Linked DNA regions of Nothobranchius furzeri. The main gene of each other region encodes a partner of the protein of the gene in region 4 in a complex. Links are inferred from orthologs where the notes say so. Each region holds a gene or a part of one and is shown on either strand. Other genes may lie near its edges. The genes, in order: ranbp2, nup160, cetn3, nup153, nup188, nup205 and nup107.

Region 1 (3,500 bases), on a different chromosome or scaffold from region 4:
TCAACGGAGGTTTCATTCATTGACCAATGAGAGGACAGGATGTTCCCTACATCTCCGAGCAAACATGGAGAAGTTGATACTTCCTGTGACGGATTTCCCAGAACTGTACAATATTTCTACCAAAGAAAACAGAGATATTCACAAAAAGGCCGCGGCATGGGAAACTGTTGGTTTTTACGTAGTAAAATCAGAAGTAAGATTTCAAATAACTCTAGCAGCACCTTGTGAAACATCACATCTACCGCTTTTTTAACTCTGAACCGCCGGTGTTCTGACTATCCGTGCTTCCTCGTCAAATTTTCCTACCAACGCGCATTTCAACAGCTGATTCATTCTGTCCAGGTTTGCTGAAAATCGGTAGCTACTGTTAATTTATTTTATGAAAAAAGGTGGATTGTGTAAGAAGCAGTTTAGTCATTTTGTAAAAATTAAACCCCTTAGTTGCTAAAAACATTTGAATATCCTCAGAACAATGACGATTTACCAACTACTTTCACCCATGTCGAGAAAGTGATTCATAAAAATGGAGATTTGTAAGACGTTAGCTCTTACTGTTCTATTTCTCTACCTAATCCTGTATTAGACAAATTAATCCACATAGAACAAATATGCTTTCTCCCCAATATTTATAGTTATTTGTTTGAATGTACAATTTTGGAGATTATTATACAACTATGATAAATTTATTATATGTATAATATAAAACTTTTGGATATTAATTTGGGACTCTTTCAAAATGACTGTAAACAATGGGAGAAATTTCTTGTTTACAGTATAATAACGATATTTTAGAAGCCATTTGCAAGCTGTCAGGTAAACTTACAGCAAGCAGTAATTTAATTAAACAACTTAAAGAAATACTTACTGTGACCTTCGACGAGTTGAAAGTAACTAGCTAAGTGACGAGATTAAACGTAAACTTCCACAGATAACACGTCTTGACTTGTAAACAGCCTGTGATGCAATAATTGGCCTGTGCATTCCCCCAAAGTAGCACATTTCGACAGGGGGCACGGATAGTCGGAACACCGGCTTAAATAACCTTAATTCCCTCCAACCTGACACAGCCAATCAAAACAACGGAAGATTCGATTTCACCATGGAACAGAACGCGTCGTCGGCTTTGCCGTTGGCTGCGGGTTGCCTCCCGTGTCAGGTAATAAAAGCGACAGCGATGAATTTCGCTGATCGCGGTCGTTTGTCGCCTCCCGTGTTTCAAGCCCATAAATGTTAAACTCATCAGGCTAAAAGCTGAGGCTCATCACAACGGAGACCCTCACCTGACACATGAAATCTGGTATGACCCTGTGGAAGATGGAGTCCCGTAGCCCAAAGCCTTTCTCTCCGACGCAAAGAACCCTAAAGTTTTCTGCCGTCTTCGGAACAATATGAGAGAAAAGCTCTATAGTGATGGTGCCCAGCGGCACATTGTCAGCAGACACTTTGAGGAACACCTGAGGATTGGTCTTTCTGGAGTGCTCTTGGACTCTGGACATCTGTTGCCAGGTAATCGAAGCATCCTCACCGATTTGGCCCATCCGGTTCTGACATTCGCAGAAAGTTTTACGGAAGGACTCGGCTATTTCTGGGGTTTTGAACTTAGCTGCCAGCTGCTCTACGACACCATCACCGTCTAGAATGTGGAGATAGCAACAAGTAAGCAGTCAGGAAGATCAGAGAGTACCACAGGGTTTTTTATGATCCACAAGTCTAAAGGAGCTTAGTTTTTTTACACTAAATAATATCAGCCTGAATCCTGTTCAGGATGTGTACCTGAGTAGTCGGTAGCGGTCCAGACCAGCGCGTTAGCTGAGGTGTTCATGGGTTTGAGCTCCATCGTCTGTGAGATGGTGTGGTTGGCACAAACCCTCAGCACCTGCTCTCTTCTCATCAGGATTCGATAAAAGTGTTTGGTTGGGTGGAAGAGGATCTTGACGTCGCCGATGCCACGCTCCTTCCACTGACCGAGGTCCCGGTCCCATCGGAAAAGCTTGGTGCGCTCTTTAAACAGGATTTCCTCATCTTCCTCTCCAGACTTAGTCTCCACCTGAGACACAAACAAACCTGATTTTCAAACGTTGCCTCTAAATCATCGAATTGTCTTAAAAAGGGGAAAACTATTCTGATACCTCAGGCAGGGATACTATAGGCTCAAAGTGAATGTCCACATTTTTAGGAGCCTCTTCTTCATCACTTCCATCCTCATCAACATTGCTTTTAGCCTCGGAGGACATATTGGACCCAAACACCATCGCTCCAGCATTTGCCCACGAGAAACCAGAATCTATGCAAACAAACAAACAAACATTTGTTCCATTAATTCTGAAATATTTCAATTTTAAAAAGACGCCACTTAAAGTCAATAAAACCAACCTTTTGTTCCAAACGCAAACCCTTCAGTATTCTTGGCCAAGTCGGCAAAAGAAAACCCTCCAAGGGAGTTGAAACCAAAAGAGTCTGCATCAACAGGGGCAACGTTATTAGTGACAGAAACAAACTGATGTGTTGTTTTAATGCAGCAGAGAAATGTATCTGACAGCAACATGGTCCCTGTTAAAATGTGAAAACAAACTAAGTCATCAGAAGCTGAAGAAGACACATTGTGCATAATTAAAATGTAAGTCCCAGTTTTAGAAAGGTCACTATGTTCTAAGTATAATGGTCACTTAGAATCGGATCTGTTTTTAAACAGCTTCAACATAAAATCTCAGATCCAAGAATAAAATCATCCTCCAACAGTCGTTTGGTTTACTAAACGTCTCAGACTCCGATAAACAGAGGTGTTAACTAGGGATGCTCCGATCACGTGCTTTTCAGGAAATCAGAGTAAGGTGAGAAAAATCTGATTTAAACATATAAAACAAAAACCATAACTTTTTTTAAATTTATCAAAAAGATTTTCATGCACAATAATATTGGCTTAGTTTTAAATTCGACAAGTTCCTCTACATCAGTATTCTTTGTTTCATTTACAACACCGTAAGTCTCACAATTTAAGGTAGTCCGGGAATCCACGCACCATAACACGTAGCAGTTAGCTAACACAGAGCATAGTTGTCACCTGAAGAGAAAGAAAATGTCTGTACTTTGGATGCATTTTTAACTGAACTTCCCTGTTGCTGAAAACAGACGCACAAAAGCGGGGTTGTGTGGCTATGTCTGCCTGCATTTGCTGATTGTGCAGAATGTTGCAGCACGATCTGCAAACGATTCAGGGCCAACTAAGAGCGAGTTGGCACAGTCGAGGCGAGAGTGTATCACAGACTCCAAGTGCGACCTTTTCAAAATCGGCTTCAGGCCAGCCAAACAACAAAGTTGAAAACAAAAACACGACCTCACAACTGCATTGATCATCGTAAACCTCACATCTGATTTCATCCCAAGGCTGGTAACACACCTCTTGAGGTCCAAACTTGGAAGTGTCGGTACCCCACAGGTGCAAGACTGGTTTTTGGGGACAAAACGAATGGCCTCAGTCTTCGACTCATTAAGTTTAAGGA
Region 2 (4,232 bases), on a different chromosome or scaffold from region 4:
GATCCCAACTGTTGGAGCGCTCACACCTGCAGAAAAAAAAAAACACAGATATGAAGTCACCTCGAAGCTGAACTAACCAGCTGCCTGGTCAAACAGCCATTGTGACTAATAATGATGTGAAACTGTTTCATACAACAACTAATGTTGGTAAGCTCAGAAAGGACACAGAATTTATAAATATAAAACTAGTGCAAAGTCAGAAAAGGGTAGAATGCCTTCTCCGGGTCAGGGATGAGGTCCTGCCCCAAGTGGAGGGGTTTAAGTATCTCGGGGTCTTGTTCACGGGTGAGGGAAAACTGGAGCGTGTCTGCAGTGATGCGGGCGTTGTACCGGGCTGTCGTGGTGAAGAGAGAGCTGAGCCAGAAGGCGAAGCTCTCGATTTACCGGTCCATCTACGTTCCTACCCTCACCCAGTGTTGGGAGTAACGCCGTTTAAGTATAACGGCATTACTAATGGTGTTCTTTTTTAGGTAACAGAATAATCTAATTAATTACTTTTCCCACTGTTGCAACGCCGTTACCGTTACTGGGGATGGAAGGTTGTGCGTTACTATGTTCTTGTCGAACGTTGAGCAGCAGCGTGAGGCTTTCTGACCGCCACACTTCAGCTGCAGCCAGGAAGAGAGGTGTCGGTAACGCGCTTACAAACACGATGATGATTAGCCGGGTGGGCGGAGACCCTCAGTGTTCTCACTGTCTCAGTTGCTGCCTGCTGTAGACCCAACTGAGCAGTGATGGGAATAACGCCGTTTAAAATAACCACGTTAATAAAAAGATATATATATTTCTTTCTGTAACGAGCAAACTAATTAATTACCGTCTTAACAAAACGATCGTTTCTGTTACTGATAAGGAAATGCGTGCGTTAAGCAGCGCGGCAGCGAATCTGCGGGTCTGCAGCCGTGTCCTTCTTAGCGTGACAGCGGGACGTCCCGAAGGTCCGCTCACCTGTTCACCGCTCCGACGTCCTGATCTTCTACCTTCCTAGATCATCCAGCTGTAACCTGTTTCTGATCATGTCTTTAGTCCCGCTGTAACACTGATGCATCAGTCTCAGACGGCATGGAGCTCAGGTGTTACTAGAACTACCTGTGTGTGTTTACCACCCAGCTTCAGCTCTTCTGTGGTTGGGTCTGACCCAAGTTAGTAAATGTAAGTCCTCCATCAGGCTTGTGCCTCTTCTAGTGTCATTTTAAAGGATTTTATTTATTTATTTAACCGTTACTAGATTAGCAGCAACAGAAATGCTGCTAAAAACACACAATTATGTGAAGCTGGAAAAATTAAAATGCTGTGCAAAATTACATTTATTTCTGTAATTTAACTAGACTGAGAGACCATTTAAAGGCTCGGGAACCTTTACAGGTGTTTCTATTTGCAATTTTAAATTTTAGCTGATTGGGGTCTTGTTAAAAATCACACAGTGACCTTTTAATAGTCTAGATAAGTGTAATGTTCCTGTTAGTAGTTCCTCCTGTTAAGTGCTTATTTATTTAAATCGTTCAGGTTTATAAAAAACATTTAGACATTCATTTTATTATGTTCCAATCATTAGTCATTTATATTTCACTATTGTAGTAACTCTTGCACGCTTTAATGAAAAAGTAACTAAGTAGTTATTTTTCTTGGTAATTAGTTACTTTTATAATCTTGTAACTCAGTAACTGAGTTACTTTGACAAAGTAATCAGTAACTATAACTAATTACTTTTTTAAAGTAACGTTCCCAACACTGCCCTCACCTATGGTCACAAGCTTTGGGTAGTGACCGAATAAAAAAGTACAATAAGTATACTTTTGCAACGAACGTGTTTATTCTCTTGGCTAGATCCATAAATGTAAATCTGCTCATAAGATGCCATATTTCCCTTATTCTCTTAAAAATGTATAACTATTTATAAACAAAATTTCTCACTCGTCTAACAAAAAGTCTCAAAACGATTGATGCTTGTGGATTTTTGCACGTATTTGTAGAACTAACAGAGATGGGAATTGTGGCATCAAGTCATCTCCATGTCGTGTTTTTGTTCTGCTCTGCAACAAAATCAGGTGATCTCAGATGAACCTGGCTCAATCCACATCTCTGACCGTTAATCCCTCTGGCTGAATGTTCACTTACAGGTATTCACCTGTGTCGTATACGTCATGTTCTCCTGGTGTAGACTTGCACTTCGCTAAATAAAGTCCTTGACACTTCTGCAGGATTAGGGTTGAGCTTCCACATCCTCGTGATTTTATCTTGAGGCGCTCTATTAAAGATCGTCTTCTTTCTTTCTGCGTGAAGAGGACTTACTGACTCCATAAAGAAGACACCGTAATCCAGCCTAGCTGCCTCAGGTTGGGTTACACCGCAGCTTTGATCTGCGGTGGGCTGTTATGCACCTACATACCCCTCAGAATGATGGCAGTTGCGCCCCTGTTCAGTATGAGTAACAGGTGAGCAACCTTTGAGTTGACCATACAACTGTTTCACTAGAGCTCACCTGTTCGGTGCAGCTGCCCTGAACATTTCACATCACAGAGACATGTGAGCACGCGCAGAGCGAGAGGACAGCGTAGCTAGCCGCGGCTAGATCAGCGCGGGATCCAGTTAACGTGAATGGAACATTAAAAGTAATGCCTAACTGGACTTCATTAATCAGAACTCACACTCACCTGGACTCACTGTGACTTCACGGAACCGGCGCTCTGTTTCCCGCTCAAACCCGCAAAACTCCACGAAGCTTCTCTCCATTACAGCCGCCATCTTCTCCGTGGGGCCACGTGACACTTGAAAGCTGCGCACGCAGCATCTTAGAAACCCAGTGAAATAAACGCCCCACTGTAACCATAGATATGTCTGTGGACGCAACGTAGCAGTAGCGGGCCGCCATCTTGGATGGGTTCCCAATCACCCGCAGAGCATTTATTTCGACTGAAGGTGTTAACTTCAAAACTCATTTTACGGATTTTTTTTAACAAAGTCAGATACATGGTATGGCATGATAAGAAAACATAAATGAATTTTTTTCACATTTTAATAAAAAAACAAGTTTGTTAATTTGAAGGTCTGTCTCTCTCTCTCACACACACACGCTGAGGCTGAAGGGAAAACGAAACCCTGATTTTCTATTTTACTCTATTTTATTCATTTGTTTGAGTGCTGAAGGTTACGATAATAGCCTAGTTCCTAGTTCTCATTTCTCCAGGTGAATGTGCCGCCATACCAAGTCAAATTACCCACTGTGGAATTAATGAAGTCTATTCTATTCTATATTTGACTTTGGCACTTTCCACGTCTTCTGGAGATCTGTGGAGTCTCACATAAATATCAGGACCACATGCTCCTCCAGCTTCTCCACCCGAGAACCTGCTGCTGCCACTTTGACCACTAGGTGGCAGCAGATGCTTCACTGGAAAAGACTGCACCGATTACTGAATTTAATGGACAGATGCATTTGTGTTGCGAATGGCGGTGTGGCTCAGAGATGAAGCAAGGCGCTCGCTCGGCAGCCGATTCAAATAGAAGCAGACTTTATTGTGTCAGCTCTACTGTACATGTGTCATCTTACAGCAGCACAGTGACTCGTACAAAAAGATAACTGGAATGTTTGTTCAGTAATACTGATGTGTACCATATAAGGAAAGCAGTCTGTTACATCATCACCTTCAGAGGTATAAAGTACCAGTTCACCTGAACAGGTGAGACTACAAGACGATCCATCTCCTATCTGAGGAGTCCGTGCACAGCTCCATGCGCATCACGCTGCGCTCTTGCTTGGCAGCTCAGTGCTGTTGTGTCTCGTCTTGCGTGACGTGCCGTCGTCCCGCGGCCGTGCCTTCTGTAGACTGGACATGGCGGCAGTGCGCTCGATGTCGATTAGCGCATAGGGTTCTGTGCGCCGCGTGGGTGTGGTGGGGGGCAGCGGGGAGGTGGGGGTGCGGGGTGTGTGAGGGTTGCTGCCATCAGAGGCACCTTTGTTTCCACCACTGCTGTCCATCTCCACCTCGATGTAGTTGAGCGTTTTAGTCGGCTCCATGTGGCCCGGCAGAGGCGGTCGGCGGAATTCAAAATTAAAAATGGTGGGGCAATCCGCTCGACGGCGGGCTGTGTCAGGCCGGTGCGCGCTGAGTGGCGCGGTCACGTTCTCTGTGTTGACATAGTTGTGAGAAGACTCGAGGGCAGCAGACAGAGGGTGGGAGTAGGGGTGATGCAGCAAGCTGTAGGGGGCGTGGTTAAAGCCGTTGAGCGAT
Region 3 (4,055 bases), on a different chromosome or scaffold from region 4:
TTATTAAAGTATGATGGTGCCGGGTCTGACGACTCTGGCTCTTTGGGAAATGACAAATGAGTAGGGTTGGCAAAACAATTTAAAAATAAATATGCCACATTTAACTAATAACTGCAACAGGTCAAATAGGATACGAGTGAAACAGATCTGATCTTCTGTGTTTTACTACATCACATTAACACGTTCCTAACGGAGCTTCAGACTCGTCTTCTACACAAACACACTCCATGAATAAAAGCTCGCTTCTTAAAGAAATGCCAGCAGGTCAGCATCATATTGACACTTCATGTCTACGAGAGGAACTGAGCAGTGTGAGCAGATGTTGGTCCAGACACGATCTGGTGCTTTTATTTATCAAACCAAGTCAGAACAAAGCTCCAGGCTCCTGATAAAGTCCAGTCCACCTCAGAAGCAAGAGAACAAGGCCCATATCTCCTCCCAATATGGGCAAAGAGTCCAACTTACAGATGGGGAAACCTCTTCATGGGTCTCTGGTCATGATGGAGAGGAACTCCTCCTGATTTACTGAAAAGAAGGGAAAAACACCTGGTCAGATCTACTGGATTTACCTGGAAAGCTTAGACGCAAGAATGAAAGAAAACAAACAAAAAGCGAAGCAGCAGTGGATTTTTGTTACTTTAACTGAACATGTTTACACATTGTCGTTAGTAAATCTATTTTGTTCCAGGGCAGCAGATGCCTGCTGACGTGACAGGATCTGGTCTAACAGTGAAAGCAACAATGTTAGGAACAATCATATAAATAATTAAAATGCCTGTGTGTGCCAGAAGATGCAGTGATGATGTTGGTATTGTTGCATCTGCGGCTCTAATCAGACACAAAATCACAACAAAAGAGAGACAGAGTTGCTCTCATCTCAGACTCCGGTCTTACTTTCTCCATCCCCGTCTGTGTCAAACTCGTCGATCATGCTGCGTAGCTCCTCGTCGCTGATGTTCTCCCCGAGTTCTCGAGCAACCCGTCTCAGGTTCCTCAGGCTGATCTTTCCTGACTCGTCATCGTCAAACAGCTTGAAAGCCTTCATGATCTCCTCTTTGGGATCTCGCTCCAAGATGCGATCCGTAACTGTTGAGGGGTAGGGAAAAGGTTTAGTAGCTAATGAAGCACCTCAAGCTATGAGGTAATACCAGAGCCGATGACCACCTTACCCACTTCGCTGAAATCCTCAAAGGTGATTTTCCCACTTCCCTCTCTGTCGTAATCCTTCAGAATCTTCAGAACATCCACTTTCTTCACTTCAAAACCGAGAGCGCGCATCGCCACCTGACAAGATGTTTAAATGTTGTTTTGGTTTGAATTCAGGATTAGAACAATTAGTAACTAGCACTAAAACAACAAATAAATGTTATTGCTGTAGAACGTTAGCTCCAATTCCCCTGGAGCTTTATTTCAGCAGGGTGCCTTCAGACATGGAAAACCCATTAGCGTTTCTCCAAAAGGTGATTAAATGGTATTTAGTTACTTTTACTTACATAATAATACATAAATACCTGGTGCTCCACATTCACAGCAGTTAAAGAAAAATAGGAATGATGAGGTTATAAAAGCATAACTTATATACGGCATTATTTCAGGCACAAAAACCATAAGGTAACCATAACAACCACCACTATGGCCCATTTTCTTACCTTCAGCTCGTGATAGTCAATCTCCTTATCTTTATCCGTGTCAAATAAGTCAAAAGCTTCTTTAATTTCATGCTTTTGGTCCTCGGTGAGCTCCCTCCTCTTCTTGCGCTTGGTTGTCTCAGCTGCAAGATCAGTTCTGCTGAAACAAACACACATGCAGTCTCACCTCAGACACTACCTGTATCACAGCCATGACTTATTAATGCATTAACCCATACACTTTGTTATCCAATGAGAACTAAACCATTTTCTGTAATGTTTATTGGGGTCTCTCTGATGACACAGGGTAGGCTAAAGGATCTTAAAAAAATCTACCTTATGCCTTGTTCTAAAAAAAATCAAAAGCAAAATAACCCAGAAGAACATCTAAAGCTTTGTAGGTCAAACTTGGTTAAGGTTTAAGGTCATGTGTCAACAATAAGGTAAACCTCATTCTCCAAAGCCTCTGCTGAACAACAACAACAACAACAAAAACAACCCACATTTACCAAAAACATTGGGAGGACCTCCAAAAGTCTGGGGGAAATTGTTTATTGACAGATGGAAAAAAACAAAACAAAACAAAAAACTAGTACATTCGGGTCCCCCACCGTTTCTCCGCCAGCTTCTTTGTAAACTGTTGTGTTTAGCAATATTATTTCAAGAAAATCCCTAAAAATATATATCTTAATCATTTGGTCATTGCTGTAGCTGTGAAATTCATCATGTTTAGTGAATATCACTAATTCTAATCTAATTCAGATTACGATACAATTAGATAATATTACTCAATTTACAGTTATACACAAGGGACTCGTTCCCTCATAAATGTCTTATCCTGATAAAAAAAATAACATCTACGCCTATAATTGTACAATTTGGCAGGACGAAATCATCTTGACGAGACAAGCGAAGGCGTACGTTTTTCAACTGGGGAACAAATCTCGACGTACCACCGGTTTCAACTGAACTGTAACAGCCACATCTCGCGACAAAAGGTTAGCTCCTTACCTTAGAGATAAACTCATTCCAGGTGAATTTATAAAACCTTTAAACCAAATGTTATTCTGAATGCTATGTGGCTACAGCTTCCAGCAAACACAACAAATCCGTTTATCCGCGCTCACACACCAGGAATCCTATTGGTCGCTGGTTGCCAGGCAGCAGTTAGGCGAGATCTGGTTGGTTAATGTTACTTCTTCAAGGCCGCTTACCCGGTCGTTGTCATTGCTCTATGCAGTCAATTAGAGCACTATTGCCACCTCGTGTTCATAACTGATACCACAGTCTATATTATACATATGGATGGATATACATATGCCCGGTATATATATATATATATATATATATATACACATACAAACCAATGATGAATCAAAAATATTCTGACACATCACCATTGCATAAAGAAGAAGAAAGGGCCTGTATATTATGTAAGGTACCTAAATTCTCCTAAAATTTTCAATATCTGGTGAATTTGGACATAGAGAATTATTCTAATGACTTCACGTGCTAATGTAACACTCACAAGGTCTTTATGAACCTCAAATCTTGATTTTGTTTTAAAAAAAATTTTGGGGTGGGGGGACACCCTCTCCACCAGCTGTTAAAGTCTCATACGTTCAAGCTGCTTTATAAAACTATTATTCCAAGCCCAGTTAAATCTTAACTTTCAGAAATTCTAAGCAGCCAGAGTTCAGAGTTGCCAAAAAGTGCTGCTTTTAGTTTTTGCCCACCAAAGAGTGCTCTTTCATAGGAAAAATCTTCTTTCTCTAAACTAAGTTGTGGATGTTCTAACATCGCCAGGACTTTTTGAGTGCCACAGGATTTTAATCTATAACAATGTAGTATGTTACCAGTAGTAACCTTTGTCACTGTGGTGCCAGCTCTCTTCAGGTCATTCACTAATTCCCCATATGTACTTCTGGACTGTTTCCTCACCATTCTCAAGATCATTTGTACCCCACAAGGTGAGATCTTACACAGAGCCACAGGTCGAGGAATACTGTCAGTGATTTTGTATTTATTCCAGTTTCTAATAATTGCTGCAACAGTTGATCTCTTCCCACCAAGTTGCTTACCTGTTGTGGATTTACTCAAGCCAATCTTGTGCAGGTGTACAATCCTGACACTGATGTCGTTTGTCAACTCTCTGGTCTTGGCCATGGTGGAGTCTGACTGACTGAAGGTGTAGACAGGTGTCTTTTATACAGATACCAGTTGCCACTAATTCAGTCAGCAAGTGGAGGATAGATAAGCTTCTTAAAGAAGAAGTAACAGGTATGTGAGGACCAGAATTATTGCACATATGTAGGCACTAAATATGTATCTTCTGCACCATGATACAAATAATTTCTTAGAAAATTTTACAGTGTGACTTCCAGGATTTTTTACATTCTGTCTCATAGTTGAAGCAAACTGTAACTA
Region 4 (4,262 bases):
GGCTCCAAAAGTAGGGGAGGACACATCTAGCGGGTTGAAGTGGAGGTGAGAGCGACTAAGAGGAGGTCGGGAGAGCACGTACTCCTGAAAGTTCAGGGATGCGTGACTTGTTGAGGGTTCTGTGCAAATGAAAGGGAAGTTAATATCATGAATGACAGAAGAAACAGCAAAATGTTGTTTCTGAGCAACTTCTAACCTGTGTTACTGGTGCTTGGCTCTGGTGAATCCCGTCCATCAAAAGAAGGAGGTCCTTCTTCATTACCATTCGGAGGAGGAGGAGGAGGAGGAGGTGGCAGCAGGCAGCTCTGGTCTGTCCGTTGTCCTCCCTCTCCTCCTTCGGGAGCATCTCCGTTCTTAAAGTATTTCTGCAGCCAGGAAGGAACGATGCTCTTCACCGTGTCCGTCACTCGACTAATCAGGCCTGACTGCTGCAGATCAAGACACAAGAAATATGGCGTTAGACAAAGAATATACAAGGAATGTAGAAAAACAAAATAATAAGCATGTTTTTGTTACATTTCCAGGTTTTACAGATGTATATGTCCCCTAAAAGAAACAGACATAACCAATCACACAGCAAAAATGAAAATAATTTTTTAATGAAAGAAAAACAAAACAACTTTACTTTGGCGTATAAAAACTTGCTTTTGTTGTTACAAAAATAAATAAACTAAAGAACATTTTTCAGCTTTACAGAAACAGGATTTATTAGTTGGGCGTTGTGTGGTTTCTCATTACCAACCCATGTTGGCAGAACTGAATGCTGCCATTGCCACAATTATGAATGAAGGCATTTGTTTCCTCCTTATGGGTGTTTTTTAATAAGTAAACATCATACTGGGATTACCCACTGTTAGTGTCACATATGTACCATGATGGCGGGCCTAGCTATAAGAGGGATGGGTTGAAAACCTGCTATTCATGAATCATCTAAACGATTCCACTTTGATTAACCCAAAATACTGAGTTTGTTTCATTTCATTTATAAAATCACTATCCCATCTTTTGTTTATTTTTCCCTTTCATCTAAAGAAAACAAGACTATGTTGAACAGAATGTGCTCCAACTAGTCTGCTGCACATCAACAACTGTGGTGACTTGCAGCAAACTGCAAACATGGTTAAATCCAGATTTATTTTTCTTCCAAGTCAAAATTAATAATCTTAATGTTTCTATTAAAAGTGAATTAAAGTTGTACAAAAAGCAACTGGACTTCTTTTAAACTCCCAGAGAGATGTCAGATTTTCTGCAGCTCGTCTCAGGTTGCTGCAATTTGTATTTGACATTTTTGTATTACCCCAAATTTTCCAAACAGTTAAACATTAATGACTTGTGCAGTTGGGTACTTTCAGAAAAACTTTTCTGATCTTCGTGACATGGCACAAATATTAGCAAGAAGCAAGCATGTTGCTAACACAAGAACTGAATGTTTAATTTACTTACCATGTAAATCAAAAAGCCACAGCAAATCTTTAGTTTATTAGCATTTGCAAAACTAGACTTTACTTGTTCTTGTCGTTATTTGTTTAAAATAATGCAACTTCTTCTAATTGTAACACCTCATAATACAACGCTAATAATGTGGTAAACAGCAAGGTTGCGCAATAACCTACAACCATCAGCTTTGTGTCTGCCACTAACCTGCATGTTTAACATCTTATGTACTTGTTTGATTTCAATAAAGGCTGATTTATTGCAAAAACATGAGTGCCAGGCCTGTATAGAATAAGAACATACAAGTTTTAAAGTGAGGTGGAAATGGATGCACATGTTTTGATGTAGCAGAGTTGTTTATGGTCAACTTAGCAAATTTTAAATAATTAACGGACAACGTTTGTCATAAAAACACTGCTGACAAAGTAATTATTTATTAATACACCGACCTTAGTTAGATATCATTTCTGCAACTCTAGAGACTTAAGCATTTTATTATAAACACACTATGTGGAAATTTTAAGAGATGACAAAACAGATCAGAGAAACCGCCGAGTGCCCAGCCACGTCTTGCCTAATGTCTACATTTTAGAGTGCTTTTAAAAACGTCAACTTTGACATCAGGGCGGTAGATTATCCCTCAGGGGGACCATGTGGGTTCCCAATAAACCCAACGCTCCTTGCGCAATTCTGCAGGCTGAGATTTGACTTACACTAGTCATTTATATAATACCTCAGTGGTATTATTGTACAGCTGCATTATAAACGTTCACGTACTTAAATAAATATGTAACGACGGAATAAATGATCGTGTCACTTGAATCTGCGATGTTGAAAAGCACCAAAGACAATGCGTTGTACGCCGATGCTAGTGGGTTAGCTCCAATTAGCAGCTGAAATTCTACTTCCTCGCTTCGTGCTAACTTGGCTAATCACTTTCAACTTACAAAATTATTATCTCAGCTTTTCATGTAGGGATCTGAGCTAAAACAAAAACTAACTAAGTTTTCTGGACGATACACTGTCGTTATTTGACTGTCAAGTCCGTCTAATTTTGCTAACCTTAAGCCAACTTGCTAGTTTGTTAGCATTTCATGGGCATGCTAGCGGCGCGTGGAGGCCACGAGCGCTAACTGAAGGCCATAAAATGTCTCAAACAAAACAATAACAAAACAAACTGAAGAATTGTGGCAATTCAATCACTGTGCTGTGCTCGACTGAGGCTGTTAACACGGAAACTTTCACTTGATTTACCTGTTTACTCTTGGCGTAAGGTTTAGAAGCAATCTGACATCTCCTGCTTCTAATTTTCCCTCCACCCGTGGCCGCCATGGCTCTGTCGTCTGAGTGAGTCTGCCGTTGTTTCGGCGCCGGATAGCTGTCATCCAGCACAGCGGCCGCCGGCAGATGAATTGTGGGTAATGTAGTGAGTGACCATAACAAAAGAGGTCAAGGGCTCTTTATGGAGCCGTTTTTCTGTGCGCAGCATTTATTTATTGGATTATTATTTATTGAGACTGGGGTGAAAACTATTAGCTTATTTAAAAAAAAAAGAATTCAAGATAGTCTTGAAATAAAAAAAATGATTGATGTTGTTTTCATTTATCTGATAATAGCTGGCTACCCCTAAACAATTTTCACAGGGGCGGCCAGATGGGGGGCAGTGAAAATTTGGGGTGGCACACCAAATTGGTCCCCGTGGCAATAATAATTTCAAAATTGACAAACACAAACATTTCAGAATAAATCCAGTTATTACTGGCCTTGTTTCATATTATTTGACGGTTTTAAAAGTTTAATTTACGCATTGCTGTCATAACAAAATTATTGGGATTTATGCCTTTTTATTAAAATGAGGAGGTTCTGTGGCACAAGCATATTTTTAAATACAGATTTATTGAATACGGTATTTATTGTTACTTATTAACAATCGATCAAAATAAACGTACTGACATCTATTTATGTCTTGATCAAAAAAGATTAATGTATGATTTGTGTGAACATAAATGTGTTTTAAGGGAGTGTGTGTGTGGGGCAGAGGGCTTCCACAGGTCACGAGGCAGGGATGGCCAACTATTTTTTAAAGATGGCAATGCCCTCCCTATTTCATCGCAGACCTAAAAGAGTAGGTCAACAAGGGCTACATTCCATTTCTGCAGATGCACTTACTGGTTGTAAGTGGAACGGAGTACGGTGAAACAGATCTACAAAAAACAGTTTTTACTTTCAACATTCTGAGCCGTTTGTTGAATATTTACACAAAATAATCCAGACACCACCAGTGTACATGTGTGTGTAATGCGGAAGAAGATTAGGGCACTGAAAGAAAAAAAAATTTAAATCAGCTGTAAAACTTATGACTTTATCAGTGGCCCCAATCCTCCTCCGTAGTATGAAGCTTCATTGCCTTGAATTTTAGCTTTTACACTCAAACCTGAACCGGAGTCAACCAGACAAATGTTTTTATTAGCATTCTGGATTTTTAAAATCACTGATGCAACTTTAAATATGCATTCAGTATAATAATATCCCTGCTGTTTCATGTTACATCCATTCTTCTTCTCAGAATGAATGAATATTTATTATTAGCGTTGCTCATTGTCTCTTTTCTCCATGCTTGATGACAAATCTGCTCTTGGAAGGAACCTTCCTCCATTTTGTGGGCTGCAAACTTCCCAGTGAATCCGTTTGAGCTACGGAACAAATAAAGGTACAGTTACAGGAAATATTAGGACTTCAAATGAGTGAAGATGGTCTTTTTTATTATGGAAGTGACGTCTACGATCACCTGGGACTAAAGCTGATGAGTCAGTGGCGTCATGGTCATC
Region 5 (4,015 bases), on a different chromosome or scaffold from region 4:
CTTACAATAATAAATACATTCATCCAATTTTAACACATAAATACAAAGTCAGTGAGGTGACCTTACCCGATCCGGTCAACCAGCACGTCCATGCTCTTGTCCACCAGGTGTCTGTTAGTCTGACGCAACCCAAAGCCTTGCTCTTTGAACATTTTGGTGAATTTTACAAGGTCGGGTGGGCTCATCTCAAAGTATGCATAATACAGGAAGATGATCTCCAACAGCAGAGACTGTTCCCTCAGACACTGCAGGAACCACCGTGAGACTTGTCTCTCCGTCTTGCAAACGAGAAGAAGAGTGTAAGGAAGCAGACGGGGCTACAGTACGCTGCTGTAAAAATAAACCCAGTGTTTACCATGAGGTTGCCATGGGTTTCCCATGTTGGTGCTTCAGCCTTGAAGAGGTTCTCAAACTGTGACTGATAGCTGTTCACCAGGTCCTTCTCCAACTTGTTGACACAGTTACTGTACTCGGCCTTGACAAAAAAAAAACAAGGATTATTTACACAAAAAAACATCACATCAGGAAGAAATGCATTTAAAAAAAGAAATATGTCTCACCCGATAGGGGTGTCGCTCATCCTGGAAGTATGTCAGCAGCAGCAGGACACATCTGAGCAGACACATGCGCTCCTCATAGTAATAATCAGCGATCTGTAAAAAAATTAACAACACTAGTAAAAACAGAAATGATTGGAAAATGGCACAGAAGTGACGTAATGCTAGTTTGGGTGCATACCTTTAGGAGAAGAGCCTGACTCTTCCGTTCCTCGTTGAGAACAACCTGTCACAGAAACTACTGTTAAATCTCTTCAGACCTATGATTTAGTACCAGTGGATTTTTGTTTTTCTAGTAAGTTATAGAACAAAAAAAGTTGAAAGCAAACACCTTTAAAGAATCACGAGTTCCTCTGTAGTCCTCCTGCAGATAGCACTGTAAAAGCTGCACACTCTGCTGCTCATCAAGATTCTAAAACATTATTACAACAATCCCTTATGAACCAGCAGTCATGAAAACGTAAGAATCCACCCTCTGTGACATAAAAAGATCTAAATGCTTACCAGCAGTTTACTAATCCTCAGACCAAAGTCTTTCAGGGGCTGTGCAACATCTTTGTTTTCCTTAACTTTCGCAGCGGAGGATGAACTACGGGAGGTGAAGCTAATAGTTACTCATTTATTCATGTATCTGATGTGAAAATACCTTGATGTAATTATACCTGGGTGGCTTGTAGTAACTGAGTCCCTGATGCAGTCTGTCCCAGTGCTTGTCAAGCTCTCCCTCTATTTGAGCCTGCACCAAAAATACAAATGTGTGTGTGTGTGTGTGTGTGTGTGTGTGTGTGTGTGTGTGTGTGTGTGTGTGTGTGTGTGTGTTTATATAGAAGTTAGAATAGCATGAGTTAAACCAGGAAATTACTTATGGATAAATTGTCTAAAATTTTGGATGGTCAAGTTCAGCATACGCTCTCTTTGAGTGAGGAGGACATACCGATTCTCTCAGAGCAGACTTCCCCAGCAAAATGGTCCATAACTCTCTACAGCTCCTAAGAGGAGAAGAGAGGTGAAAGTCAGCAAATCAATAACCTTTAATAAATGAGATATGATGCAGATCCACTACAAGGAAAATACTACAATATGCAAATTTGACTTGACAGGCTGCATTTGTGAGTGACCTCAGATGCATTTAACTGATAAAACATAAATGTGTCCTGGGCAAAACTGTAGACCTGCCCGGACTCCTTATGCCTCAATTAGATGTGAAGTTTGTCAATCAGGTTATACATATCTTTGTTTGTCAAACGCATGTTGCACATGCACCCACCCAATGCATTTAAAACACAATAAGAGAGATTTAGTTTGTGTTTAAAGAAAACTGAAATTCAAACCCAAATGATCATCAAGGTCAGATTGTAGAGAATGCTGAGCTAATGCACTGTACTGAATCACCAAGAACAATACAACTAAATATGAATGGAACCACTACACACACTTCAAACATCCTCACTGACTGCCTTAAATACAAAGGTTGATACAGAATTAAAATGCTTTATTGTTTTTCCTTAAAACCTTGAACTAAATTCTCTTAAATCGTGTTTCTGTACCAGCTTTGATATAAAACAACTTTGTCAATCTGCCTCTTTGAAATCCCATAAGTTTTTTCTCAACACCGGTCTGACAGATTCAGCAGTTTTTAAATGTCCTCTAATGTTCCTCAATAAGCCTTTTATTTATGGTAAAACTGTTAAATAATACAGTTTATTTACTACGATTGGTTTAAGGTTCTGTTGGGTTCATTTTAGAAAATCTGTCCGTTAAAATAATTCCAACTTAAGACGGTCTTTTCCATCGTGTCTAAATGATGGGTTTAGCTTCAATAGACTAGCCTCTTTTACTACAAGACGTAATAATTTTGACATCAGCACGCGTTTTCTATCTCTGCCAGAAAAATCTCCCTGGCTGACAACAGCTCTGACTGTTGTTGACATGTGAGGTAGCGCCGCGCTACAAAAACCTTTTGAAATGTTTAGCTGCTAGCACATGCTAAGCTATACGAGCATGGTGCTAATTCTTTTTAAAACAGACTGTTAAATGACTCTGTTGCCACAGTTGTGATTTAATAAATGAACACGGGCTGTAGCCAGATTTACTCATTATCAACGTCTCTTAACTATTTATTAACAATAAATGTTAGTTAGTCGCTTATGTTTCTACCTGACACTCATCTCCGATTCCGCCATCTTAGATTCTGCCCTGTGATTGGTTAGTAAAGTGTCTGACGTCTTTACAAACGGAAACTTTCTTCTTCGTGAATTGGACTTGTGCTTAATGATGCTTTACTGCCCTCCTCTGAACAAAACGTTTAATTTCAGTTCCTTGCAGCAGGTTTGTTTTAAATTTTACTTTACTGAGGCACTTTTGCTGTTCATTTTCAATTTTCATTTTTTGTTTGAATTCATATTTAGGTGTTCTGTTTACTTATCACTGAATACATTTTCTTTTATTTTAAAACTGGTTTCACTTATTTCAGATATCTCGTTTTAACATTAAGCAGACTGGATATGTGTTGTATTGTTCCTAGTAGAAATTAAAATTCCAGATATCCACGAGAACATTTCTACTGTCCAGCATGACCGTTTTTTTTAGATATGTGAAATGTAACAAATGACATCACATTTCCCATTCATGTTTATTGGCTTCTACAGCGCTTCCACAATTACAGACTTCCTGTCAAGAATGAACATTGTAGAAAGAAGAAACGGAATTAGGAGTTACATTCCAGATATCTGAAATAGTCGTTCTGAATAGTTGGTGTGGATGTTAATTACTGCTAGGAACAACTATAAATATCTAGAATGGCTGTCTGGCTTGTCAAGGACGCTGCAGCGGCAGCGCTCCTCTATATAAAGCGAAACAGACAGCTGCCGGTTACAGTAATCAATACACTTTATTGTCAAAAATCACCAAAATATTACTGTAGAAATGGGAAAATGATGGCTTCAGCATCCAGTTCTGCCAGAAGACGCTGGCAGCGCTGAGCTGTTTGGAAGAGGAAAACATTAACCACGTGACCGCCGACACGCAGACGGAGCTGTTTGACAGCTGGCTAATCTCCAGGTGCTTACAATTAATTAGAATGCGCATGCGCCTCAGAGTGGAGCTACTTGACAGATCATCTCCAGATGGTTACAATTAATTAGAATGCGCATGCGCCTCAAAGTGCATAAATTCGCAGACGTGACGTCATATACAGTTACTTTACATTAGCAGATCGAGCAGAATAGCACGCAGCTAGACAAGCTTTCAGAAACATGTCGAGCAGTTTTAAAATAGCCCTCGGTACCAGAATTGAAAGTTTAACCAACACGTATATAGTTAAGTTACTCCCACCTGTGGAAATAAATGGTGAAGTTTTGACCATTTGCCAAGATCAAAATGAGGAAATGTATTATGTGAAATGTATTCACAAGAGAGTTTTACATCGGTATAAACAAGAAGCGAACCTGCTTTTGTAT
Region 6 (3,500 bases), on a different chromosome or scaffold from region 4:
CCTCCATCTCCTCTCTGTGTTCGGCTGAATCTGCAGGTGCAGAAATCTCCGCCTGCTTCAACAACCTCTCCCGTTCCCCTCCTGCCAGGCGACTCAGCAGCGCCAGACACAAACGCTGCAAGAGGCACATCTGTTACCAGCTGCACACCATGAGGCTGATTTAGGACCCTGGAAGGTTCCTGCAGAGAACATTTAAGGTGGTCTCACCTGGAATCTGTTAATGTGACCCTGGAACTCCATGAGAGCAGCACTGTTGAGCTCTCCACCCGTCTCCAGGACACCTGGATGAACACGAAGTCCCTTCCATAAGTCACAGACGGAGAGTTTGCACACACAGAGGTAAGTTACTGCTGAATACCTGGCAGTGCAGTTTTACTGATGATGCCAGTAAGCAGAGAGAGTTCCTGCAGAGCTCCCATGGTGAGATCCTGACAGCGCAGCAGGGACTGGACGGTGTCCGCGTGGACGATCAGCCACTGGAGAACCTTTATGTTCCCGAACCAACACAACACTCCACTTTCTTACACCTCAGAGCTAGAAGCAGGTACATGTTTTTATGTCTGGTAGAAAATATTCACCTGCGCTGCCCCCTGCTGGTGATTTATGGATGTAGACGTCAGGATCACCTGAAAGAGCCTCAAGGTCGGCAAAAGAATCTGCCGGTAGCGGTCTAAAGGGGACGGTACGAAGCCAGATGGATCCCTCGTCATCCTGAGGCCACATTTAAACAAACGTAAAGATAATCAGCGCTGAACATGTCAGTTCAACAGAAATAAACAAGAACGGTCTAATGGGAAGAGGCAAGTCTCACACCTGAGGGAATCGCTCTCGGGCACCATGTCAAACACCTGACACTCGATCAGCTGAGCCACCAGGCCACAGCGCAGCAGCTCCACCGCTCCTTCACCACTTTTAGCCACACGGGTGAGGAGAGCCTGGAGACACGCAGAAGAGTTCAACACCGTTCAGAGCTGGCAGCCACAATCATTTCCTCACCATCTTGCTCTCGTAGATGTAGAGTGGTTTGAGGAGAGGTGGCTGGGGGGTCAGCAGGCTCTGTAGGGCGGCGTCGTCCTGTCTCACGCTCTCCACCAGAGAACGCAGGTAGCCGCTGTTGCACACGTACACCAGCCACTGATTCTGGCGGTCTATTGACAGGATACGGTCCAGAACCGCCAAAGCCAGCATCTGACACCAACACAACAGGAAGTCAACCATGGGCTCAAGAGAGAAGGTAAAGAGTGGTCTCACTAATTACCCTGCTTATCTCGTGGCCGTCACAGGCATCCCTACACACAACCTCCATGAGGGACTTGCCATAGCTTTCGATTATTGCCAGATTCTCCCTCTGCAGCTTGGAGAAGCCATCTTCAGGGGCAGTGAGACGCTCCCACATGGCTTTACTAGCTGCACAGACAGAGACGTTCTGAGATGATGAACCCTATCCAGACACAGCCTCACCAAAGAGCAAGTGTGTTCAGCTGCACCTTTCTGCAGAGTGTCTGGCTCCTCAGGCTTTTGAGCCATTTGCAGGTAATACAGCAGAGAGCCATACAGGTGAGCGCGCAGACGCTGGTATCCTCCTCCTGCCAGTGTTAAAGCTTTTTAATGTTTTGATCAACAAAACAGGAAATAAAGATTCTTTCAGCCAAAGGAGTTTTAAGGATTCACCAACCGGTGCACAGAATGAAGTCTAGCAGCTTGCGGAGGATTAAATGAAGGGATGAATTAGCAATGGACGCAAAGCCAGAAGACGTTTCAGATCCCAAGCCCTGCTGCTGCTCGGAGAGAACCGCCTGGCTGAGCTGAGCTGTGAGGGTGAAGACGGCTCCAGCAACAATGGGCATCAGCTCTCCTGCTGCATCCTCCGATAAAACCTGCATTAACATTTGTGTTGAGCAGTTTTCTACACCGCTGCACTGAAAATGGTGTAAATACCCAATACGACGGAACATTTCCTCACCTTATCATGCAGATCCAGCAGCAAGTCTCTGATGATGAGCTGCCTGTCGTCAGCAGGTATGAGATCAGCTGGGCAGGCGGTCAGCAGCGTCTCCACGAGGCTCCTCCAGGACTGCAGCGCGTGTCGCTTTGCGCTCAGACTCCGGCGAACGCGGTTGCGTTCTACCACGTGCTGCAGGATGGAGTTCACCTCCTGCCAAGACAACAGTTAGCTCAAGCGTTTAAATGAGTGTGTGTGAATCACAAGGAACGCCCCAGAGATGTCCCTTACTTCCATTAACAGGGGCCGTTGTCCTATTGCTGCCATTCCTTGTAGCGCATTCACCTCGGCCACCAGCACCCTGTGAAGCAACTGCACGCCACACAGACCCGTTCACGAGGACGAACACGCTGAAACCCTCAGTGACTCACGCTGTGTGCGTGTGAACTCACCTTGACGTTGCACACAGTGTGGCCCTGCTCATTAACGTGCTCACAGTTGGAGATCACCTGCTCTATTTGAGTACGCTCAAAAAAGTCCAACTGCAGCAGCTCCGGCAGGTCCTGACTGAAGTCGATAGCGTCCAGAACACTCAGCAGCTTCCTGCGCACTGAGGCACACAAGCCAGACGCGTTTAAGGAGAACAAATACAAGTCTGCTAACCAACCACCATCACAACTGATGAGTAAGGCAGGGCAAACCTTTGGAGGCGGAGTCAAAATGCAGAAAAGCGCTGACTGATCGGGTTTCTTCTTCCATGCCGGATTCCCCGTCAGCTAGAGAGAAGCAGATCTCTTTAGATGTGAACCGAGAATATTTTTAAATCTTTTTCATAAACATTCTGCCTAATTTAAGCTCATCTGAACAGGTGAACACCAGGAAAAGCACGCTTCCCACCTGTGTGCTGGGTGTGTGGCTGGTCATCCAGAAGAAGGCTGACAAGACGTTGTGTGTGTGAACGCTGGCGGTTCAGTGAGGTCACTCTCAGCTCGATGGCAGCCGTTTTCATGAGCCACGACATCTGGGAGAGGGCAGCGATCGGATTACCTGGAGGCCAAACAGAACAAACACACAGATTCACACTTTTCTGGGCCACGAGTCCGAGATCATTCAGCAGGGTTCACCTGACAGGATGAAGGGCAGGTGCTGCAAATGAGAGAACAGGAAGTCCTGACTGGTCCTCAGATAGCGCATGGTGGGTCCAGATGTGTCTGGACAGGCACACAGCTGGTAGATCACCTGAGATGAGTAAAAGGTGTCAGATAACCGAAAAGATCCAAGGCTACAGGCTCATGTTGTTGTTAATACCTGGTAGCAGAGCTCCGCCAGGTGAGGAGCTTCCTGTGTGAGGGTAGGCCCTGATCTCTTCTCAGTGCCTCTCTGCAGCAGACTCAGGATGGCGTGTAGGCAGCTGCGTGGACATCCCAACACGCCTGTTGAAGGCAGAAATCCAGATGTGACCCTTTAAAGCTCAAACCCAACGCCGATCAGTCGTGTGAAACCCGTACCAGGATCCTGGAGGTTTGTGGAACAAACGGGCTTCTTGACCTCATAACCC
Region 7 (4,072 bases), on a different chromosome or scaffold from region 4:
CTAAATGCACCACTAATGGAACTAATAAATCCTGATAAAGGCCCTCAGAGGGTGTGTTTAAGCTCCTCCTGACTTACCTTGTCCTTGCAGATGTTCTGATAATCCTCCACAAGCTCAAACACAGCAGAGGAAGAATGTTTCAGAAAGGAAGTAAGGAACTCCGGAAACAGACTGGCGGCCGCTGAAGAGATGAGAGTCCAGCATCAGGAGCAGCAGAGTAACAAGACGAAGCCTTGGGGGTGTTTGTTTTACTCACCTGCGTCTCCTGGGTCATCCTCCTTCAGCAGCGCTGAGCTGAGGTTGGCACCGTCATCACTGAAGCAGCTGGTGTTCCCTAACCCAGAAGCCGGGGAGGTGTAAAAGCTGGTGGTCCAGTCGCTGTCGTCCAAGTTCTACACACACACACACACACACACACACACACACACACACACACACACACACACACAAATTCACTATAATGAGAACAGAGTATGCTCTAAATGTAAGCTCAAGTTTCTCACCAGATTGCCCAAAGTGCTTCTGGGAGTGTACTGATATCGAGGGGTCCGAGCTCCTGACGCCAGAATGGAGGAAACATCTGGAACTCTGGGAGTTACTGTGACAAAAGAGACAGAGTTTCAATGTGGTGCAGTTTGAAGACCAACCATCAGGAGGAAATCCGTCTTACCAGCCTGTCTGAAAAGCGAAGCGGGGGTGGTCAGAGTACGAGCTGGCGTTGCCATGGGAACAACTGGGCTACCGGTGTTAGGTGATGGGACTGAGACAAAAGTCAAGAGAACAACACTGATGGCCCCAACATTATAATCTAAATAAGAACCATTAATGTGCTGGTCCAAACTCAAGAATTTCATCACTTGTAGCTAATTAGAAATACATACGAGGTGTAAAGCAACCAAACGAAAGCTCTGAAAAACTTTCAGGAATCTGTGAAGAACTACTGATCCAGATTACAAGAAAATCTGGCTTCATAATAACAACAAAAGACTTAATCAGGAATTTTACACTAATTTGTACATTAGAAAGACATCATTTAAAGAACAAGTCACCCCCTACAAGAAACTTACTCCACTCCCACATCATGTTTGAAAAATGCAACAAATGCTGTTGCTTGGCAGACCGAGAGGGCAGAGCCGCTAACAAATACACACACACACAGGCTCACAATGGCATTATGACATCATAATATACCAGATGACATCATAGCATACCTCTTAGCCAATAGCGGTGGCAGATTTAAATTCAAATACAGTGCAGAATTTTTCCCTGACAACCGCACAACACTGAAAGTTTTAGGCAGAATATTTGAATTTTAACCAAGATGCACTGAACTGCCAAATTATTGACTACACGTGTCTGTAGCATGATTAGACACTCCTATATATAGTTTATCAGCAAAAAAATGTGATTCGGGGTGACTTGCTCTTTAAGCATCAACTTGATTCTATCAATAAATAGCCTCTAAACAGCAATTACAGGTGATTCCTGTTTATCATAAAAGCGAAGGAACGCTGCATCATGTAACCATATTTATTACAAATCTTTGACAGATTTCACGACAACAAACACATTTTTAGGAGTCAGTTTTGATTGCTTGTACACATTATACATGAGAACAGCCCCTTGTCTTCATGTCTGACTGTTTTATCTTATTTTGATCCTGTATGTTTTTATCTTATGTTTTTCTTTGGTGTAAAGCTAACTGTCCGTTGCCGCTACCTCTTGGCCAGATGGTCGTCGTAAATGAGAATGAGTTCTCAATCGACTCATCTGGGTAAATAAAGGTTAAATAAATACAATAAAAAGGAGGATACAGGCCACCCTGCTCCTCCTGCGGGCAGCATCGGTCACATAGTCATCTCGAACCACCGGAGACTGCAGCTCACTCTCACCCCTTCAAGACAAGCCAACACATTAAAACACATTAGCATCACCACGTTCCCACACAACACCTTTTTAACGCAAACATTTAAAACACATGAACAAAAAATGGATTCGTCTGTTTTAATCCAGCGTTTCCTAATCCTCCTTAAGGATGATTAACAGACTCCTGCAAAACCTGACAAGAAGGAAAGTATATGGTGATGAAGAGGCCTTGTCAGAATAAACATCAGAAACACTTAAAGATCATTCCTAGGTTTTCTGTTCCAGAATTGTATTCGTTTATTCGGTGTTTTGTCTGAAGATTTGATGTTTTCTTTACTTTAAGAGTCTCCACGGGGACACCCTTCGGGTAAAATAAACCAAGCCGCACTAAAGTATTATTCAACAACTTTACCACTAAAGCATACGAAAGGCATTTTTAATAATATCTTATTAAAGGTTTGTTTGATGAAATGCGTACAATAAATAATTGTAGCCACCTAATTAATCGTATCCTTAATTACATCAACGGTTACATGGTTTCTTCCACTTCGGCAAACACTGAAATATTGTTTATATTTTTCAATTTTGCACAGCTTAATTCACTTAAATGACAATAACCTGTCACTCGAAACGTCAACGACTAACCATGTCAACAAAAATTAGCCGGTTAGCATCAACATTCATAATGAACGGAAGACCTAGCAGCGCAAACTAATTTAGCTCCCGCTAAAGTTACCTACAAATGACTAAACGAATGGCTAATCAAAAAAAACAGACAGCGGTGGAAAAGCTTTCTACATTTTTACATAATTTAAATATCGTCTTTTACCATTCCATGGTACAGAGGAATCAATTCCCGCTTCAGGAGGTTTAGCTGCAAACCATGCTGTAAAAAAGTCTTCTTCTGTTTTAGTTTCCTCAGCAGTCAATTCCCATTTACAGTCTCTGCTGCCCCCAGAGGTCAGACTCTAGACTGCACTCTCGATTGTGTGTTGGAATCATAGACTGTACATACTCATAAAAGTAGCTGATGGTTTACTTATAGAACAGGAAAATAACACGTTATAACGTTAAAGATGCTGTTCTAACAATGAACTTACCTGGTTATAAATAAATGTGTAACACTGGAAGAAACATGTGATTGGACAGGTTTAAAAAAACATTATTTAAAGTTTTGAGGTATTTGCTGACAGCAAATTATATTATATTATATTATTGTAATATTCTCAGGTTACTTTCTTTCTTTCTTTTTCTTTCTTTCAAGCTTATATTATTCTTCAGGCTGTTGACTTTGAAGAGTTGCTGTGTGAATGTTTAAAATAAAAAATTAGTAACTAAGGAATAACTGTGGAGTTGCTCTTTCCAATGTGTGGTGGGTGGGTGGGTTTTGGGTGAGAGGCATGCAGGCAGGGGGGGGGGGCACATGGGCAGTCTCGCCATGTGCACTAAATTACCTAGAACCGGCCCTGGAGGTGTTCCAAAACAGAAAATGATTGTGTCATCAGCGTGAAAGTACATATTAGCATCCAACGCATTATGTCCTATGGCATTAAATACATAATGAACAAGGGGGGTCCCAAAACTGAACCCTGTGGCACTCCCTATTGAAAGTCATTGCAGTTATTCCATGTAAAAAAAAACTGGGAAGCTGCTTAAACCTGCATAAACATATATCTACTAGTTAGAACAACAGCAGCATTTGAATGAAACAAAAATAAAGGCTTCTTTTCCTGTCTGGTTTCTGGGCTAATTTTATTTTTCATAGTGGAGTGAGTCATCTTGGTGATATTTAATCTCTGCTCTTTGCGTCCTTCCGGTCCGCTTAACGGCGTTAGTTACGTAGGAAGCAGGAACACAGAAGGGCTCACCGCGGTGCTCTGGAGAACAGCGTTAAAACCCCACTTGTTACAGCCCCGGTACCGGTTCTGGAACCCCCGGCACCGGCAGGACAGGCTTTCAGGCCCGCTAGCTCCCGGGAGGAAGAGGGAAAGAGAGGGAAGATGGAGACCCCCTCCCAGGTAAAGTTTCCCCACTGCTGCGTGGCAGAATCACACAGACTCACGGAAAACGGATCGAATCAGCTACATTTATGCTGAATCACATGAAATAACAAGCTAACTATGGTTAAACCGACTCTAACTGCAGATTAGGATTTTAAGACGTAATAATTTAGTCAAGTTTTACCAGTTTTTATTAGAAATAACAG

Evidence for each region.
Region 1: nup153 (region 4) and ranbp2 share a complex: the UniProt entries of both Homo sapiens proteins name them as parts of the nuclear pore complex. The link is inferred for Nothobranchius furzeri from reciprocal best matches to the Homo sapiens genes NUP153 and RANBP2.
Region 2: nup153 (region 4) and nup160 share a complex: the UniProt entries of both Homo sapiens proteins name them as parts of the nuclear pore complex. The link is inferred for Nothobranchius furzeri from reciprocal best matches to the Homo sapiens genes NUP153 and NUP160.
Region 3: nup153 (region 4) and cetn3 share a complex: the UniProt entries of both Homo sapiens proteins name them as parts of the nuclear pore complex. The link is inferred for Nothobranchius furzeri from reciprocal best matches to the Homo sapiens genes NUP153 and CETN3.
Region 5: nup153 (region 4) and nup188 share a complex: the UniProt entries of both Homo sapiens proteins name them as parts of the nuclear pore complex. The link is inferred for Nothobranchius furzeri from reciprocal best matches to the Homo sapiens genes NUP153 and NUP188.
Region 6: nup153 (region 4) and nup205 share a complex: the UniProt entries of both Homo sapiens proteins name them as parts of the nuclear pore complex. The link is inferred for Nothobranchius furzeri from reciprocal best matches to the Homo sapiens genes NUP153 and NUP205.
Region 7: nup153 (region 4) and nup107 share a complex: the UniProt entries of both Homo sapiens proteins name them as parts of the nuclear pore complex. The link is inferred for Nothobranchius furzeri from reciprocal best matches to the Homo sapiens genes NUP153 and NUP107.

Annotation. Positions count from the first base shown.
Region 1 is NC_091747.1:23,239,305-23,242,804, reverse strand, and holds part of ranbp2 (E3 SUMO-protein ligase RanBP2), read right to left. Parts: intron 2,458-3,500; coding exon 2,374-2,457; intron 2,285-2,373; coding exon 2,130-2,284; intron 2,048-2,129; coding exon 1,774-2,047; intron 1,634-1,773; coding exon 1,281-1,633; intron 1-1,280. UniProt on the Homo sapiens protein: E3 SUMO-protein ligase which facilitates SUMO1 and SUMO2 conjugation by UBE2I. Involved in transport factor (Ran-GTP, karyopherin)-mediated protein import via the F-G repeat-containing domain which acts as a docking site for substrates.
Region 2 is NC_091744.1:79,862,794-79,867,025, forward strand, and holds the start of nup160 (nuclear pore complex protein Nup160), read right to left. Parts: upstream 2,801-4,232; 5' UTR 2,746-2,800; coding exon 2,655-2,745; intron 27-2,654; coding exon 1-26. Other genes in the region: fibroblast growth factor receptor substrate 2, read right to left, coding at 3,740-4,232. UniProt on the Homo sapiens protein: Functions as a component of the nuclear pore complex (NPC). Involved in poly(A)+ RNA transport.
Region 3 is NC_091746.1:37,904,235-37,908,289, reverse strand, and holds the start of cetn3 (centrin-3), read right to left. Parts: upstream 2,801-4,055; 5' UTR 2,657-2,800; coding exon 2,640-2,656; intron 1,789-2,639; coding exon 1,650-1,788; intron 1,285-1,649; coding exon 1,170-1,284; intron 1,087-1,169; coding exon 895-1,086; intron 526-894; coding exon 482-525; 3' UTR 1-481. UniProt on the Homo sapiens protein: Plays a fundamental role in microtubule-organizing center structure and function. As a component of the TREX-2 complex, involved in the export of mRNAs to the cytoplasm through the nuclear pores.
Region 4 is NC_091759.1:104,986-109,247, forward strand, and holds the start of nup153 (nuclear pore complex protein Nup153), read right to left. Parts: upstream 2,801-4,262; 5' UTR 2,767-2,800; coding exon 2,689-2,766; intron 429-2,688; coding exon 197-428; intron 120-196; coding exon 1-119. Other genes in the region: ptdss1b (phosphatidylserine synthase 1), read right to left, coding at 4,030-4,127, 4,223-4,262. UniProt on the Homo sapiens protein: Component of the nuclear pore complex (NPC), a complex required for the trafficking across the nuclear envelope. Functions as a scaffolding element in the nuclear phase of the NPC essential for normal nucleocytoplasmic transport of proteins and mRNAs.
Region 5 is NC_091746.1:61,212,051-61,216,065, forward strand, and holds the start of nup188 (nucleoporin NUP188), read right to left. Parts: upstream 2,801-4,015; 5' UTR 2,741-2,800; coding exon 2,715-2,740; intron 1,547-2,714; coding exon 1,492-1,546; intron 1,294-1,491; coding exon 1,220-1,293; intron 1,147-1,219; coding exon 1,062-1,146; intron 970-1,061; coding exon 889-969; intron 784-888; coding exon 739-783; intron 654-738; coding exon 561-653; intron 476-560; coding exon 356-475; intron 279-355; coding exon 67-278; intron 1-66. UniProt on the Homo sapiens protein: Component of the nuclear pore complex (NPC), a complex required for the trafficking across the nuclear envelope. Required for proper protein transport into the nucleus.
Region 6 is NC_091744.1:88,204,316-88,207,815, reverse strand, and holds part of nup205 (nuclear pore complex protein Nup205), read right to left. Parts: coding exon 3,451-3,500; intron 3,376-3,450; coding exon 3,251-3,375; intron 3,182-3,250; coding exon 3,067-3,181; intron 2,990-3,066; coding exon 2,840-2,989; intron 2,719-2,839; coding exon 2,644-2,718; intron 2,553-2,643; coding exon 2,395-2,552; intron 2,315-2,394; coding exon 2,234-2,314; intron 2,156-2,233; coding exon 1,964-2,155; intron 1,878-1,963; coding exon 1,676-1,877; intron 1,587-1,675; coding exon 1,488-1,586; intron 1,408-1,487; coding exon 1,259-1,407; intron 1,189-1,258; coding exon 997-1,188; intron 936-996; coding exon 814-935; intron 712-813; coding exon 579-711; intron 486-578; coding exon 359-485; intron 282-358; coding exon 208-281; intron 116-207; coding exon 1-115. UniProt on the Homo sapiens protein: Plays a role in the nuclear pore complex (NPC) assembly and/or maintenance. May anchor NUP62 and other nucleoporins, but not NUP153 and TPR, to the NPC.
Region 7 is NC_091741.1:38,096,653-38,100,724, forward strand, and holds the start of nup107 (nuclear pore complex protein Nup107), read right to left. Parts: upstream 2,801-4,072; 5' UTR 2,704-2,800; coding exon 2,696-2,703; intron 1,895-2,695; coding exon 1,815-1,894; intron 761-1,814; coding exon 671-760; intron 599-670; coding exon 504-598; intron 393-503; coding exon 257-392; intron 182-256; coding exon 78-181; intron 1-77. UniProt on the Homo sapiens protein: Plays a role in the nuclear pore complex (NPC) assembly and/or maintenance. Required for the assembly of peripheral proteins into the NPC. May anchor NUP62 to the NPC. Involved in nephrogenesis.